Linked DNA regions of Tribolium castaneum. The protein of the gene in region 2 interacts with the protein of the main gene of each other region in a pairwise test. Links are inferred from orthologs where the notes say so. Each region holds a gene or a part of one and is shown on either strand. Other genes may lie near its edges.

Region 1 (6,693 bases), on a different chromosome or scaffold from region 2:
TGGGAATGGAGGAAGCGGAAGGATGCAAAGGGAGTAGACGAGAGAATAATTTTGGCTTATATTTCTGAACGATCCATAAATGCAAAATCTTCGTCATTGTGGGCGTATTATTACCAACTGAAGAAAATGTTATCTGTTAAAGAAAATATCGATATAAGCAGGTTTGTGAGGATTATATTGTTTATAATAAGTTTTGAACTAATAAATAATTGTTGTAGATTTCATCAGGTATCTGCTTTCTTAAAGCAACACTCTGTAGGGCACAGACCAAAGAAATCTAAAGTCTTCAGCTTCGAAGAAATGGAAAAGTTTTTAGTCACTGCTTCAGATGATGAATATTTGCTGCAAAAAGTGGTTCTAATTGTGGGAGTTTTTGGAGGCTGTAGAATTGGAGAATTAGTTGCCATGTCAGTTGATGACGTCGATGATCGAGGCAACGTAATTGTGGTCAATATTCCTGACACGAAGACTTATAAGCCAAGAACATTTACTATCATCAATGGAAGTAACTCTATTCCTTCCACTGACGTTTTTTGCAAGTACAGAAAACTACGACCCGAGAGTATTTTACACAAACGGTTGTTTATCAATTACCGTAAACAGAAATGCACAGTGCAACCAGTTGGGATAAATACTATTTCAAAATTTCCCGAAAAAATTGTACGATTTCTTTGTCTTCCAAATCCAGAAGAATATACCGGACATAGCTTTAGACGTTCAAGTGCAACTTTACTGGCAGACTCTTGAGCCGATTTAGCAGTGGTAAAGAGATACGGAGGATGGCGTTCAAATAGCGTTGTGGAAGGATATATAGAAGATTCCCTTAATAATAAAATTGAAATTTCAAGGAAAATCATAAACCATTCTTCATTCCTTCATTCAGAAGGAATCCACCTCAAATTCGGAAGCACGTACTTCCGCGTCATCAACATCAGTGTCAAATCAAAATATAAATGGGCCTATTAATGATAGATATGGTGTACATTTCAGTAGCCTCAGTAATTGTAACATTTATTTTAAATAAAAGTATTTGTTGGTATTCATTAAAGTCATTTAAATCAATAGTGGAATAATTTTTAAATCACTAGTGAATAAATCACTACTTATGCGTGTTACTATGGAATCAATAATGACACTTTATAATGTCAAAATTGAATAAAATAATTTAAAAATAAACAAAACTTGTAAAGCACTATAAACTATATAAATCAAAGTTGATATGAATTACGGATACCTAAAGGTTAAGGTAACAAATGGTGTACAAATAGAACATTCCCGTCCTAGAAAATTTCGTTAATGTCTACAGAAAGCGCACTTGTATTACCACATAAGTTTTTGCAGGAAAAAATTAACTTTGTTACTTGACCACAAATAAAATAAAGCGAATCCGTCCCCTCAGCGTCTTTGGGGTCTAAACCCAATATATGATCTCAGCGGACTTTATTAAAGTAAATTTAATTCTCTACAAATTTCTTCATAACACTTTTCTTGTATCTTTTTTTCTCAGTCTGTTAAGAGTACAAAGCTGAACATTTCTGCATTTTTTCCAAGTAATTAGTGAATTAATTGTATTTAAATTAGTTTTTTTTGTTTTGTCTCCTAAGTTATAGTCCTCCGTAATGTAAATAAAAATTCTACTGAAGTGCGATTTGGAAAAAGATCCGATAATTGTTATTTATTAATTTATTATACAGGTTATTCAAAAGTACTGAGCAATCTCTCGGGTTCCATTGTTCCTAGTTCCTTTAACAAAAAATTGTTTGAGCATTTTTTGATCAGATATACAGGGTGAGTTAATAGTGGGTTAGTTCTGACATGCCCTACGATGCAACCAAAAGTACTAATATATTAAAAACAAGTTGTTTAAAAAAATCTGACTTCATGTTTGTGCTTAACTGAAAGTTTTTCATCAGTACCACCATACAAGACTTTGTCCGACATTTTTTAATCATCCTGTAGGTACAAAATGAAAAAGTTTCAAAGGCGGTTTTACTCCCGGACTAAAACGCTTGAAAAAATAATAGTAAATTGCATAATCGTCGTGTATACAATACAACATTTTATTTCATCCTCCAATATGTCGATTGAATTACTGTTTTTTCAACAGATTTTAAACTCAACAATTAACACAAAATATCAGAAACAGTTGTGAACCATATTTCATAGACGATAAAATTTCATTTCACCATAAAGAAAACATTAGAAAAAATTGTATTTTATCATTTACGGTGAAATAAATTGCTTTTTTTCAGTGAAATGTATTTTCAGTACTAAATTTTCTACCAAATTGAATATAACTCAGAATTCTAAATTTGGGACTAATTTTATCATATGAAATATCTGTCGTTATCTTTTTGCCACTGCAAATTTTAGCTCTTATGATACGTGGTAACTTTCAAATAATTGGCGTTTGTTGGATTCAGCGCGCAGGTTATGTTGATTGTCAAATTGTCGGAAGACGTCAAAAAAGTAATTTATCGTAATTTACATGTTTACTTACTAACATTTACGTTTTTACAATTGGGAGTCGCTTCCCCAACTTCTAGTCTTTTTTTGTGTTTTTATTTTGTGTAATTCGGTGTTTGTTTTTTTACCGGGAAAGTGGGTGTGCTAATAAAAACGAAAATTTCCTTTTGAAATGACTTAATTTGCATTTAAGATGAATACCAACAACAAGCTCAGTCCAACGCGAAACTTTTCAGGTGCGTAAAACATCAAAAGATAAGTTTGAGGCCACTTGAGGCGCATTTTAGGTAATCTCGCAGATAACAATGAGGAGCCCTACCCAAGCCTATCCGATTACCACGACTACGAACCTAATCTCGAATTCGACGATAGCGAGTTGCATCAGAGCCCTGATATTGTTGTCCAAACAGGTGAGGTTTTGCAATAAACAAACATTCGTGTCTGACTCAGCTGCAGCCGAGTTGATTCAAATGGAATCAAACGGCATTAACTCGCCCATTCCCGACTTCACCGACGACAACTTTGAGGACGAGTTGGCCGACCCCAGCGAGGAGAACTTGGACAGCTTAGTGTACTCCCCTTCCTACCCCGAAGTCGACGACTCCCCCACACGTAAGTTTTCCGAAATTGATAAACATAAAATCGTGGATGTGAAAGGAGACGATTCCGCGGGGAGAAAAATCATCGTTGTGTACGCCCATAGGCTGCCGCCCATCGCCGAGATCAATCACAGTCTATTTTTAAAGTAATTGCATTAACGGCCTACAGCGCGTCATATTTACAATTGTGCAATTTCAGTTATCTTACCCACACTTTAGATCAGTATGTGGAACAGGATTATAGCTTAGTGTACTTCCATTATGGCCTCTCAAGCAAGAATAAACCCTCCCTCAGGTGGCTTGTGCAAGCCTATAAGGCTTTCGATAGGAAATATAAAAAGAATTTGAAAGCTTTGTACTTAGTCCATCCAACTGGCTTCCTAAAGTTCGTCTCGCAAATCTTCAGACCCTTAATTAGCGCCAAATTTGGGAAGAAAATCAATTATATAAACACTTTGAAAGAGTTGAATGAGCACATATCGCTGGAAAAGTTGGACATTCCGGAGGAAGTGATTGAGTAATTATTCTTAAATTTGTGGAGGACTGAAACTAGGAGGCGAAACGGCATTCAGAATTACAATTGAGTGGCGCGTTTAGGCTGTCTCAGTTTTTTCTAACGGTTCATCTTTGTTGAGCCAATTAGGACGCGAAATGAAGTACAAAGCAACTCGATTTTCTGAACCCAAAAATTTTATCTTGATTCCAAATTGTTTTAAATTAATTTAAATTCAATTAGTTTGTTAATTGTTTCGAAAAAAGGCAAATTCTTAATAAGCTGAGAAAAAGTAGCGACTTTCACACCACAAACATAAGAAAAAAAATAGAACTTGCGCTCCGTGTTTTTCAGAACGCTGCGAATACGGTGAAAGTTGTAGGTAATAAAATTTTCAAAAAAGCCAGAGACCATATCCTCATCTTTAACAGTTAACGCCCCCAAAGACTCTCGACACCACTCAAACGAATTGGTTTCATTTTTATCAGTAGTTAAAGTTGAACTATACTTAGAACGTCCGAAGAGGAGCTGTTCAAGCAAGCGCGTGAACGCAAAATTTGAAATTGGATTTTTAAGAAAAGTAATAAACAAAATACTTTCTTTACAATTGTATGTTGTTCCTAAATTCAGTCACTACCTCACAGGTGAATTTGTATCTCATTTTAAGTATTTGTAACAGAGTTTAAACGCGTTAAAAAGACGATTTAATTTTTTGTTCTGTTAAAAAAATGTAAGTTCAAATTGCTTGAACAAAATATGGTGACTTTCTGAGGACCTTAACAACAATGTACAGCCTGCTCAAAAACTGGCGCACCAACTCAATGGTGTGTGATAGAGAACTGGTTACATATAAAGGTAAAAATAGTAAAAAAAATTCTTTGTATTAAAGTTATTGATAAATAATGAATTTTAGATAAATGATATGTGGCAACGTTGTCTAACAGTCGTGATCGCAATAGAATTTGATCAACAATAAAAATAAATTATTTTTCAAAAGGTTTCCTAGGAAATAATTCCCAGTGTTGGCACATCTACACATTGTGATTTTTTTGATGAATTTTATTTTTTTTTAAATTAGAAAACCGCTGAAGTCTGATAGAAAATTTAAAAATAATCATTCATCGTTTTGTTAGGGAACGATTACCTACTGTGAAACATAAAAACATTGAAAAATAATGAAAATTAAAGAAATTAATACAATAAGTTTGTAGCTCCAGATTTTTTAAAATATGACTAAGGATTTTTTCAACTTTTTTACCGTAATCTGCACTTGCTTCTCAATAACGTACCACTAAGTTGGTGCGCCAGTTTTTGAGCACCCTGTACATAAATTTGAAAAAAATTGAAAATAAAATGAAAAAAAAACATTTTTAAGCCGTTTTGGTTTTTTATTAAAAAAAGGGTACTATGTTTATTGGTAATTTTTTATATAGGTCTTATATATGACGTACTTGTAATACTATATTTTTTTATGCCATTTGAACTGTAGGTTTTTCCATAAAAGCATTAAGGTTATTACACTGTTTACCCTGTTATGACTTGGTTATAAATATATAAATCGAGATAAGAACTGATCTGTGAAGTAATAAGTGAATATAGGAACATCATCCAATTGTAAAAAAAACGATTTTTTATATTATTTTTATTAAAAATTGAGTTTCAAATTAGTGCATGCGCACGGCCGCCTGAACGGTGAGCCCAGTTTAGTTGAACCTTAAATGACAGGGGAACAGTTTAAGGCTAAAGGGGAAGTCGTTTTAGTGTGTTTCTAAATCGACAGATGGCGCGGAATTTATTTTTCTATTATTTTCATATCCATTTACGTATGCGAAAATGAAAAAATGCCTTGTACATAGAATATTAATTACATTTGTGTCTGCGAAATATTTTTTTATTTTTTCATTTATTTTTGTTGTAAAAATTCGATAACGAAAAAGTTTTCAAGATGCGAATTTTGTAAAATTTTTTTGATATTCGCCCTGCTGCCTTGTTCTTTTGATGCTCTCATAAAGGGGCTGTGAGAAAGGCACTCTGTGGAAGCAGTATACAGGGTGTATCAGAAATACGTGTTTTAATTTAAACAGTTAACAGAGCTCAACGAAAAAAACATCTTTTTTGTTTCTAATTTTTTAATAAAAAATTCGGAAATTTACTTAAAATTTGGAAAAAATAAGATACTGAAATGTGTACTTGCCTATGGGTACAAAATTAAAAGAGCCGAACTATTTTGGTTGTGATAGAAACGGACAATTTGAACAATTTTTTACGTTTTATTACGTGTTAAAATTAACACACGTATTTCTGATTCACACTGTATTAGCTATTGTAAGATGTTTTCTGTAGTACTATAGGAACAAATATGGAACTAACACCAGTTAAATCTCATCTTTGAATAACCGCTAAAAAATATTTTTTTTCTGAGTTTTACTACAAAACGATAAAGAAATGTGTTATCAAAAACATTAAACAAAAATGTCGGTTGTTTAAGAAAATTAGGGGTACTCAATAACCAATGACGTCATACATATTGTTATGGCATAACATCGAAAACGAAAAATAAAATCATCCTATTCGAGAATTTTTTGAGAAATGACCCATAACAAAAATATGAATTTTGTCAGTACACTTTGTTCTTTTCTTTTTTTGTATGTGAATGTTTTCAAAATATTTCTAAAATTTCTTCTAATTAAAATTATTTAAATTATTATTTCCGTGTCATTCTACAACAAACAATGCTTAAATGTTTAGTGCAAAAATTAAATTAAATATGAATTAAATAATCGAATAAACTTAACTGTGGGGTTAGCAACAATATTAAGTTTGCGCATAACTTTTTTTGTGTTTATACTGTACGTTGTTGGAACCTTTTACTCTTAGCAATATGTTAATCCAACCAATACGAAATTGAGTAATAAGAAGCTTATAACGTAACTGGTTTCTAATGCTTGTGATGCGTAGTCACTATCGTCTTTAAGTATTTTTTGCCCAAAATATAATTAAAGAATCGCTTTTTTTAGGATAAATTACATTAGCTATTATTTTTTTAAAGAGCATGAATAATTTATAACAGCTAATTTTAAGACAAAATGGGACGCTGGTGCTTTTATAGTTTTGAAACAGCTAATACTTGACTGT
Region 2 (6,685 bases):
AAAAATCACCCAATTTGGTCGAAAATGACCAAAAATTTACTCTTTCTAAGCGTTTATTCAACAAAAACTCAATTATTGCGCAAAAATTCGTAAAAAGTAAGCTAATAAATCACAAAATTATGTCAAAAATGACATTATTTTTGCAAGTTTTGAGGATTTAAACACGTTTTTAGGCCGAAAATCAAGTTTGTTTCATTGTTTTTATTAAACTAGAACGAAAAAATCATCAAATTTGGTCTAAAATGACCAAAAATTTACCTTTTCTAAGCGTTTATTCAGTAAAAATTCAATTATTGTACAAGATTTCCTAAAAAGTAAGCCAATAAATCACAGAAATATGTCAAAAATGACATTATTTTGGCAAGTTCTGAAGATTTAAACACGTTTTAGATCAAAAATCAAGTTTTTTTCCTTTTTTTATTAAACTAGAACGAAAAAATCACCAAATTTGGTCGGAAATGACCAAAAATTTACCTTTTCTAAGCGTTTATTCAGTGAAAACTCAATTATTGCGCAAAATTTCTTAAAAAGTAAAGCAGAATTATGTCAAAAATAAGATTATTTTTGCAGGTTCTGAGGATTTAAACACGTTTTAAGAACAAAAATTAAGTTTTTTTTAAGTTTTCCCCTATTTTTATTAAATTAGAACGAAAAATCACCAAATTTGGTCGGAAATGACAACAATCCATCGATATTTTTTCATTTTAAAAACGTATTCTAGAAAGATATAGCGAAACTTGCAAAGGTGACACACATAATCGTTATTGAAAGACTTAACATTAATTGGCTATATAAATTATTTAGAAAGAATAAAATAAAACAGTTTTAATAATTTTTTACAAAGGGTTTTATCGTTCTTTATTTTGTAAGAGGCATCTTTTTAATTTTTTAAAAGCGGGAAGTAATATAGAATTTTTATGTATGCACCGGTTTCAAAAGTAAAAAAAATAATTAAATAGTTTTAAATGTAGTTTTCTAAGCTGGTGCTTTTAATTTCATTTCATAATTTTTAGTTTTTTCGGTACAAATATGTGCAATATATTCCATTTTTACCAAAACTTATTATTTAAAAAAATTAGCAAATTGGAAAAAGACTACAAGTTCGATTATTTTGCATTTTTTTCACTTCCTTGCTAAAAATTGTAGAATCTTAAGCACACTTGTACGTATTTACATATTGCATCTTTTTATGACTCCTGCTTTCACATTTATTATCTTCTCAACGTTTACAAAAACTATTACCGGTACGGAATTTGTCCCAGTTTCTACAACTTCTTTTATTTTTAATTATTTTATTTTGTTTTGTTTTTAATGTTCACAATTTCGTTCATGTTCCTGGTATTCTTTATTTACTTAAATTTTGTGTTCCTCACTGTTCTGTACTTATAAAAGTGTAGATTTAAAAAAAATGTGCCAACACCATAAATTTCGGTGTTGTTTCCAGGTTGTGCGCATTATAAGGAATCAGCCGCAGCCCGACCACGAGAAGCAAAAGCGGCGGAAGCTCAGCAAGCTTGGAAAATGTATTATTATTTAATTTGCTTTTCTCTATGTTAACAGGCCTATTAATTGTATCCTATAGCTTTAAAGTCAAGTGTTCAATGTTACGTGTCATAGATTATTGTATTCTCTGTATGATGAGTCCAAGGCAAACTACATCATGTTTCAAGAGGACCAAAAACTGCTCATTTTGCTTAAAATTGGCTCCCGATGGTACGAAAAACACGGCACTAATTTATTTCAGACCTTCAAAACGACATTGTGATATTTTCGATTTTTATACATATGTTTAGAGGGATGAAAACAGTAGTCTTGTTGACTTGTATTATAACCCGCTCATGTTTTATTTGATAACCGATTTAGCTATTTTTTAATACTAGGCGTTAATCTAGAGTTTCAGCACGGGCTTCAAGTATTAGCCAAAGAAACGTACAGTTGTTAGGTCAAACAATTGAATGACTCAGTTTTATTTACCAAAGTTATTTTAGTAGAGATAGCTTAAACTCTAGATTACAATATGTTTTTGACACTTTATTACGAATGTAATCTTTTGTGTACGATGTGTTAATAAAATTTATTTGAATGGAATTTTTGGGCCATTGAAGTCACGAAACACAATTATTATTCTCCAAAATATTTATTTAACTATAAAATACAACGTGAAAGCATGTATCAACAATTAAAGTCTTTGGGACTTTATTAAAACCAAATTAAAAAAACGGATGCAATTTAGACTGAAGGGTAAATATAAAATAAATTATTAAAAAATAACGTTTAATTGTAGTAACAGATATTATTTCTTATTGCCTGAAGCTCCTTTTTCAATATTCATGCTCTCTTCAAAATACTGATTAGGGTGATTAATTCCATTTCCCAGCGCTTTTCCGTGAGTGTATTCGAAATATTTTCCACAAGCTAGTTGATAATGACCATCAGAAACAAGCTGCTTGATTTCATTAGCACCTGTAATAGGTACAAAAAGTACTTCATTTAAATAAAAAAGTAAGCCAACTTACCATCAACGCTCACACCACATTCGATAACTTTCTGCTTAACAAGATTAACATCCCAGTGCTTAAACGGACAGCCATGGTGCTCCCCAGGCCCCACACTACTCGTAATAATTTTAACACAACTGTAGGGCGAATAACTGGCCCTTTTCCCCACCAACCCATACATGTGTTTGATATTGTAAACGTAACCCTTCTCAAACTGATTCAAATCCATTTTTTTCGTGAACTCATCCCTCCAAAATTTGAGCGCATCTTCGTACAAAAGCCCGATAGCTTTCAAGAAAAGACCGTAAGTTAGACGGCCTTGGTGTTTATGGTGGTGTTCAGACCGCAAAACCTCATGCATGTGTTTCATGCAGAGAGGGAAGTGTTTTTTAGCATATGTGTCCAGATCTGCTGGATCGACACTTTCGTGGTTTTCACGGACTCGGTAATTTTGGCCCGTGTGCAAATTGTGGAAATTGGACAAAAGGGGCCCAATACGCTCGTCGTCGAAAAGGTGGATGCGGTGGCTGTACCACTGAAAGTTTCGAATTGGAGTTATTTTAGAGCACGACGAGCGTAGCGAGCGAGTGCCTTCAATAGTTGAGAACATAAGCGCCCATTTCGTTTTACAATAAAATATAAAAAAATCATCTTACGTAAAATAGAATATAAGAAAAAATTTGGTTATTAATTTTGGTTCCACAAGCTTTATAACACTTGTCTAAATATGATTTTTTTCTAAAATAGCAGGAATTAAATGTTTAAACATCAAAATCACAAATTGTTAAACGGTCAAGGTGGCGTGTGTCGAAATAAAAATCGTAGTCACGCGTGCTGTGAAAATTTCATAGGTAACTACCAATTGTTGCTGAAATTTACAAAGCACTCTTGACCACGTTTTTATTGGGGTGCTCAGTTTTAAAACGAAATAGTAAGTCCATAAAAATAAATAAAATATGCAGTCGATCTCAAACCATACATCACAGTATTTTTAAATTAAACTGCTGGATTTCAAACCTGTCAGAGTGCAAATGTTAAACGTTTTAAAAAAAAAATTCCGTTTGATGTTTTATTGTTATTGTAGAAAAAATAGGTTTCAGTTAATAATAAATTTTCGGTACTTATAACAAAATTCTTATAGCATTTATAGCAGAATATTTTTAAGATACGTTTATAATTTCTCTGAAAATGACTAAAATTGGGCTTATTTCGTTATATATGTTTTTATATAACTAGACTTACAGTTAGCTCTTCGCTTAATTCAGCCCTGAACTTCGACTGGATGCAGACCACCAGCTCGCTGGACGGAATATAGGCAAACCCAGCCTTAAGAAACACTTTCCGGCCCCTCACCAACGAGCAAACTTCAGTAAAAGGCACTTTAAAAAATTCAGTCTCCTCGAACAGAATCAACCCCGCAGTTGACGCCTCCAGTTCATGCCTTAGCGAAACCTTCTCCTCCTCCGAAATAGGAGTATATGAGAATTTATAAATTCGTAAAAAATTCTTGACCCCCTCGCGCGACTGAGCCGTGAAACGAATCCAAAACCACTCGAGTTCCCTGCTCAAAAACCACCGTCGCAATTGCTCCGAGCGGCAATACGCCAGCCGGAGGATAAAGTGTGAGAGGTAATCGGCCTTGCGGGCTTGGTAATCCAAGTCGCTCGTGCCACTGGTGCCCCCCATCAAGCGCACGTATTTTTTCAACCCTGCCTTGGCCAAGTCGTCCTTAATGCACGTCTTCCACTGGTCGCTGTACAACCGGTTGCCTTTGGGGGCCGCTTGCTCGATAATTCGCAGCAATTTGAGCCGGTCCAGGGCGATTTGCTCGAATTCCAGGATGGAAATCTCGCTTTTGGGGCTTTCGCGGTACATGCTCACGTCGTGGGGGTACAGCTCGGAGAGGGGCTCCTCGGCGGTGGCTTTTCGCACCGTGCGGCGATACGACGTGAAATCCATGGCGAAAATTCACAATTTACAGTGTTTAGTTAAAACTTAACTCACTTAACCTCACATTTAAATGGTATCCCGCCAAAAACTGGCACCAATATCTGGGGACTAGCTAAAATCACTGCCCGGTTTTTGGGGGCAAAACCAACGCTCAGATATTTTCCAGGTGTGGCGTTCCACCCCGTGTGGCATTTGAAACAATCAAAAAGGAATAATGAGTCGAAATATTGGGCCAAATTAATTTAATTTGAACTTTCTTGTAATTTTTTTATTTCACGGTTGGTGAAAGTGAAACCCACCACGTGTGGCAAAGTTAAATGTCAACTATCAAGTTTAAATAAGTTTTTTTTTGTGTAAATATCAACATTATCTAAAACCAATTGCTGTTAATAAGTGGAAAAACGTAAGTTTTTTCTGCTTTTTGTCAATACAATGCGTAGATTTGCACCAGTCGATAAAAAACGGCACGTGTCGTTAAGTGAGGTTATGTTTTTTTGATCTGTTTTCCTTTAGCAAAAATGGGGAAGTTCCGGTCCAAGCTGAAGGGCCAGGCCAAGGGCAAGCGGTGGCCGAAGGGCCAGAGCTCGAGCTCGAACCCCGAGACGCACAAGTACCGTGATTTGGCCAAATCGCGTTTCTTTCAAGAAAATCTGGGCTCGAGCGGTTTAACGTCTGAGGCTTTGCGCAAACACGATGCAGTTCAGGCCTTCAAGCCGCGGCCGGACCCAGAGCCCATGGGCGTGGACGAGGATGTGGAGTCGTCAGTTGGCACCTACTCCTCGTACAAAACCATGGAATCGTTTGCGTCCGAATGGTCGAGTTACAGCAACATGTCGTTCACCCGCTTTTTGAAAGTCTTCCGGGCCGATTCCGCCCTGCATAAGGAGATGCTGGCGATGCTTGCGGCGATTAGCGAGGTGATTAGGGAAAACGGGGGCTCTGAGACGGCCACTGAATATTATTGTTCGCTGATAACTGCACTTGAACGTGTGTATGAGGGGGAGGAGCGCAGTGAGGAGCAGTTGACGGCGGCGTTGGCTTTGCTGAATATGGGGATCAAGACGGTGCCAGAGCCGGTTTTACGCCGGACTTTTAGCGATTTATCGGCGAAAGTTTTGCACATTCTTAATGATTACGTCGATTCTGATAATAATACGATCGTTAAGTCGATTTTTGGGATTTTGGGGACGCTTCTGAGGAAACAGGAATTGATTGTTTGGACTAACGAAGCAACGGTTAAGATTTTTACCTCGATGTTGAACCCCTTTTGTCTTCATACGAAACCAAAAGTGAGGCACACCTGAGGTGGATTAAGTGGACTGGGGTCCAAAAATATATTTCTACTACGTTTCAAAAATTAATCTCACAGATTTTTTTTTATTTTAATTACTTAATTAGTTAATTAAAATAAAAAATATTTTTGGCAATTAAATGGCAGCACGTTTAATTGAATTAAGTTGCCATTTACTTGAAAATGGTCGACAAACTTTAACGGGACTTTTTCAACATTCGAGCATCGTTAATTTTTTTCATCCTCTCCATAATAATTTATTAATTTTAATTATATAAAGAATTGTCGATAAATAAAAAAAATCATGCTTAGGAAAAAAGTTATCCAATCGTAAACCCTGGTTTTTTGTGTCGTTATTTGTTTTTGAAATACAGCAAAAATATATATAATATATAATAAAAAAATAAAAATATATAATAATACAATTTTAATAAAAAACAGGTTCGCAGGCCCTTAATCCACCTCTGAAAAATCGTAAAAACTGTCCCTAATTTGTGATTTTTAGTGGCGTAAAGCAGCCCAACAAGCTGTAATTTTAGTCGTAAAATCTGACTATTTCACCTCAACTAACACGAATATTGCGGCTGATAAAATCGCCGAATTTTGCGAGCAAACTTTAGACACTTGTATGGGAGGTAATTCGGGCGCTATTTTAGTTTCTTCAATACAGGCAGGTCAGACGACCATTTTACACACTCTGGGGTTGTTGAAAGACACAATTTGTAGTTTTTCAAAGTCGCACATGAAGGTACAGTTGTTTTTTTAGCTGCGACGATAATACGATTTTTTTTTTTTTTTTAGAAATGTTGCGAGATTATTTTAAGATTGATGACTCTAAACTACCCAATCGTCACGTCATGTGGCCTACAGGTGCTCCATGCGCTTTTTTCGGCCCAAACGGCTGTGGTTCCCCCAAAATTGAACGCCCAGTTAATTTCAGCGTTGT

Evidence for each region. The genes of interacting proteins can lie anywhere in the genome.
Region 1: the proteins of Prim2 (region 2) and RhoGAP68F interact in a two-hybrid assay, tested with the Drosophila melanogaster proteins (2 studies listed by BioGRID). The link is inferred for Tribolium castaneum from reciprocal best matches to the Drosophila melanogaster genes Prim2 and RhoGAP68F.

What each region holds. Positions count from the first base shown.
Region 1 is NC_087394.1:22,483,990-22,490,682, forward strand, and holds the start of RhoGAP68F (rho GTPase-activating protein 1), read left to right. Parts: upstream 1-2,417; 5' UTR 2,418-2,659; coding exon 2,660-2,702; intron 2,703-2,753; coding exon 2,754-2,876; intron 2,877-2,922; coding exon 2,923-3,211; intron 3,212-3,264; coding exon 3,265-3,582; intron 3,583-6,693. UniProt on the Drosophila melanogaster protein: Functions as a GTPase-activating protein (GAP) for RhoA/Rho1 during gastrulation by converting it to an inactive GDP-bound state.
Region 2 is NC_087395.1:23,553,603-23,560,287, reverse strand, and holds Prim2 (DNA primase large subunit), read right to left. Parts: upstream 4,691-6,685; 5' UTR 4,458-4,690; coding exon 3,741-4,457; intron 3,034-3,740; coding exon 2,517-3,033; intron 2,464-2,516; coding exon 2,294-2,463; 3' UTR 2,173-2,293; downstream 1-2,172. Other genes in the region: ras-related protein M-Ras, read left to right, coding at 1,445-1,537; RRP12-like protein, read left to right, coding at 4,967-5,737, 6,245-6,487, 6,541-6,685. UniProt on the Drosophila melanogaster protein: Regulatory subunit of the DNA primase complex and component of the DNA polymerase alpha complex (also known as the alpha DNA polymerase-primase complex) which play an essential role in the initiation of DNA synthesis.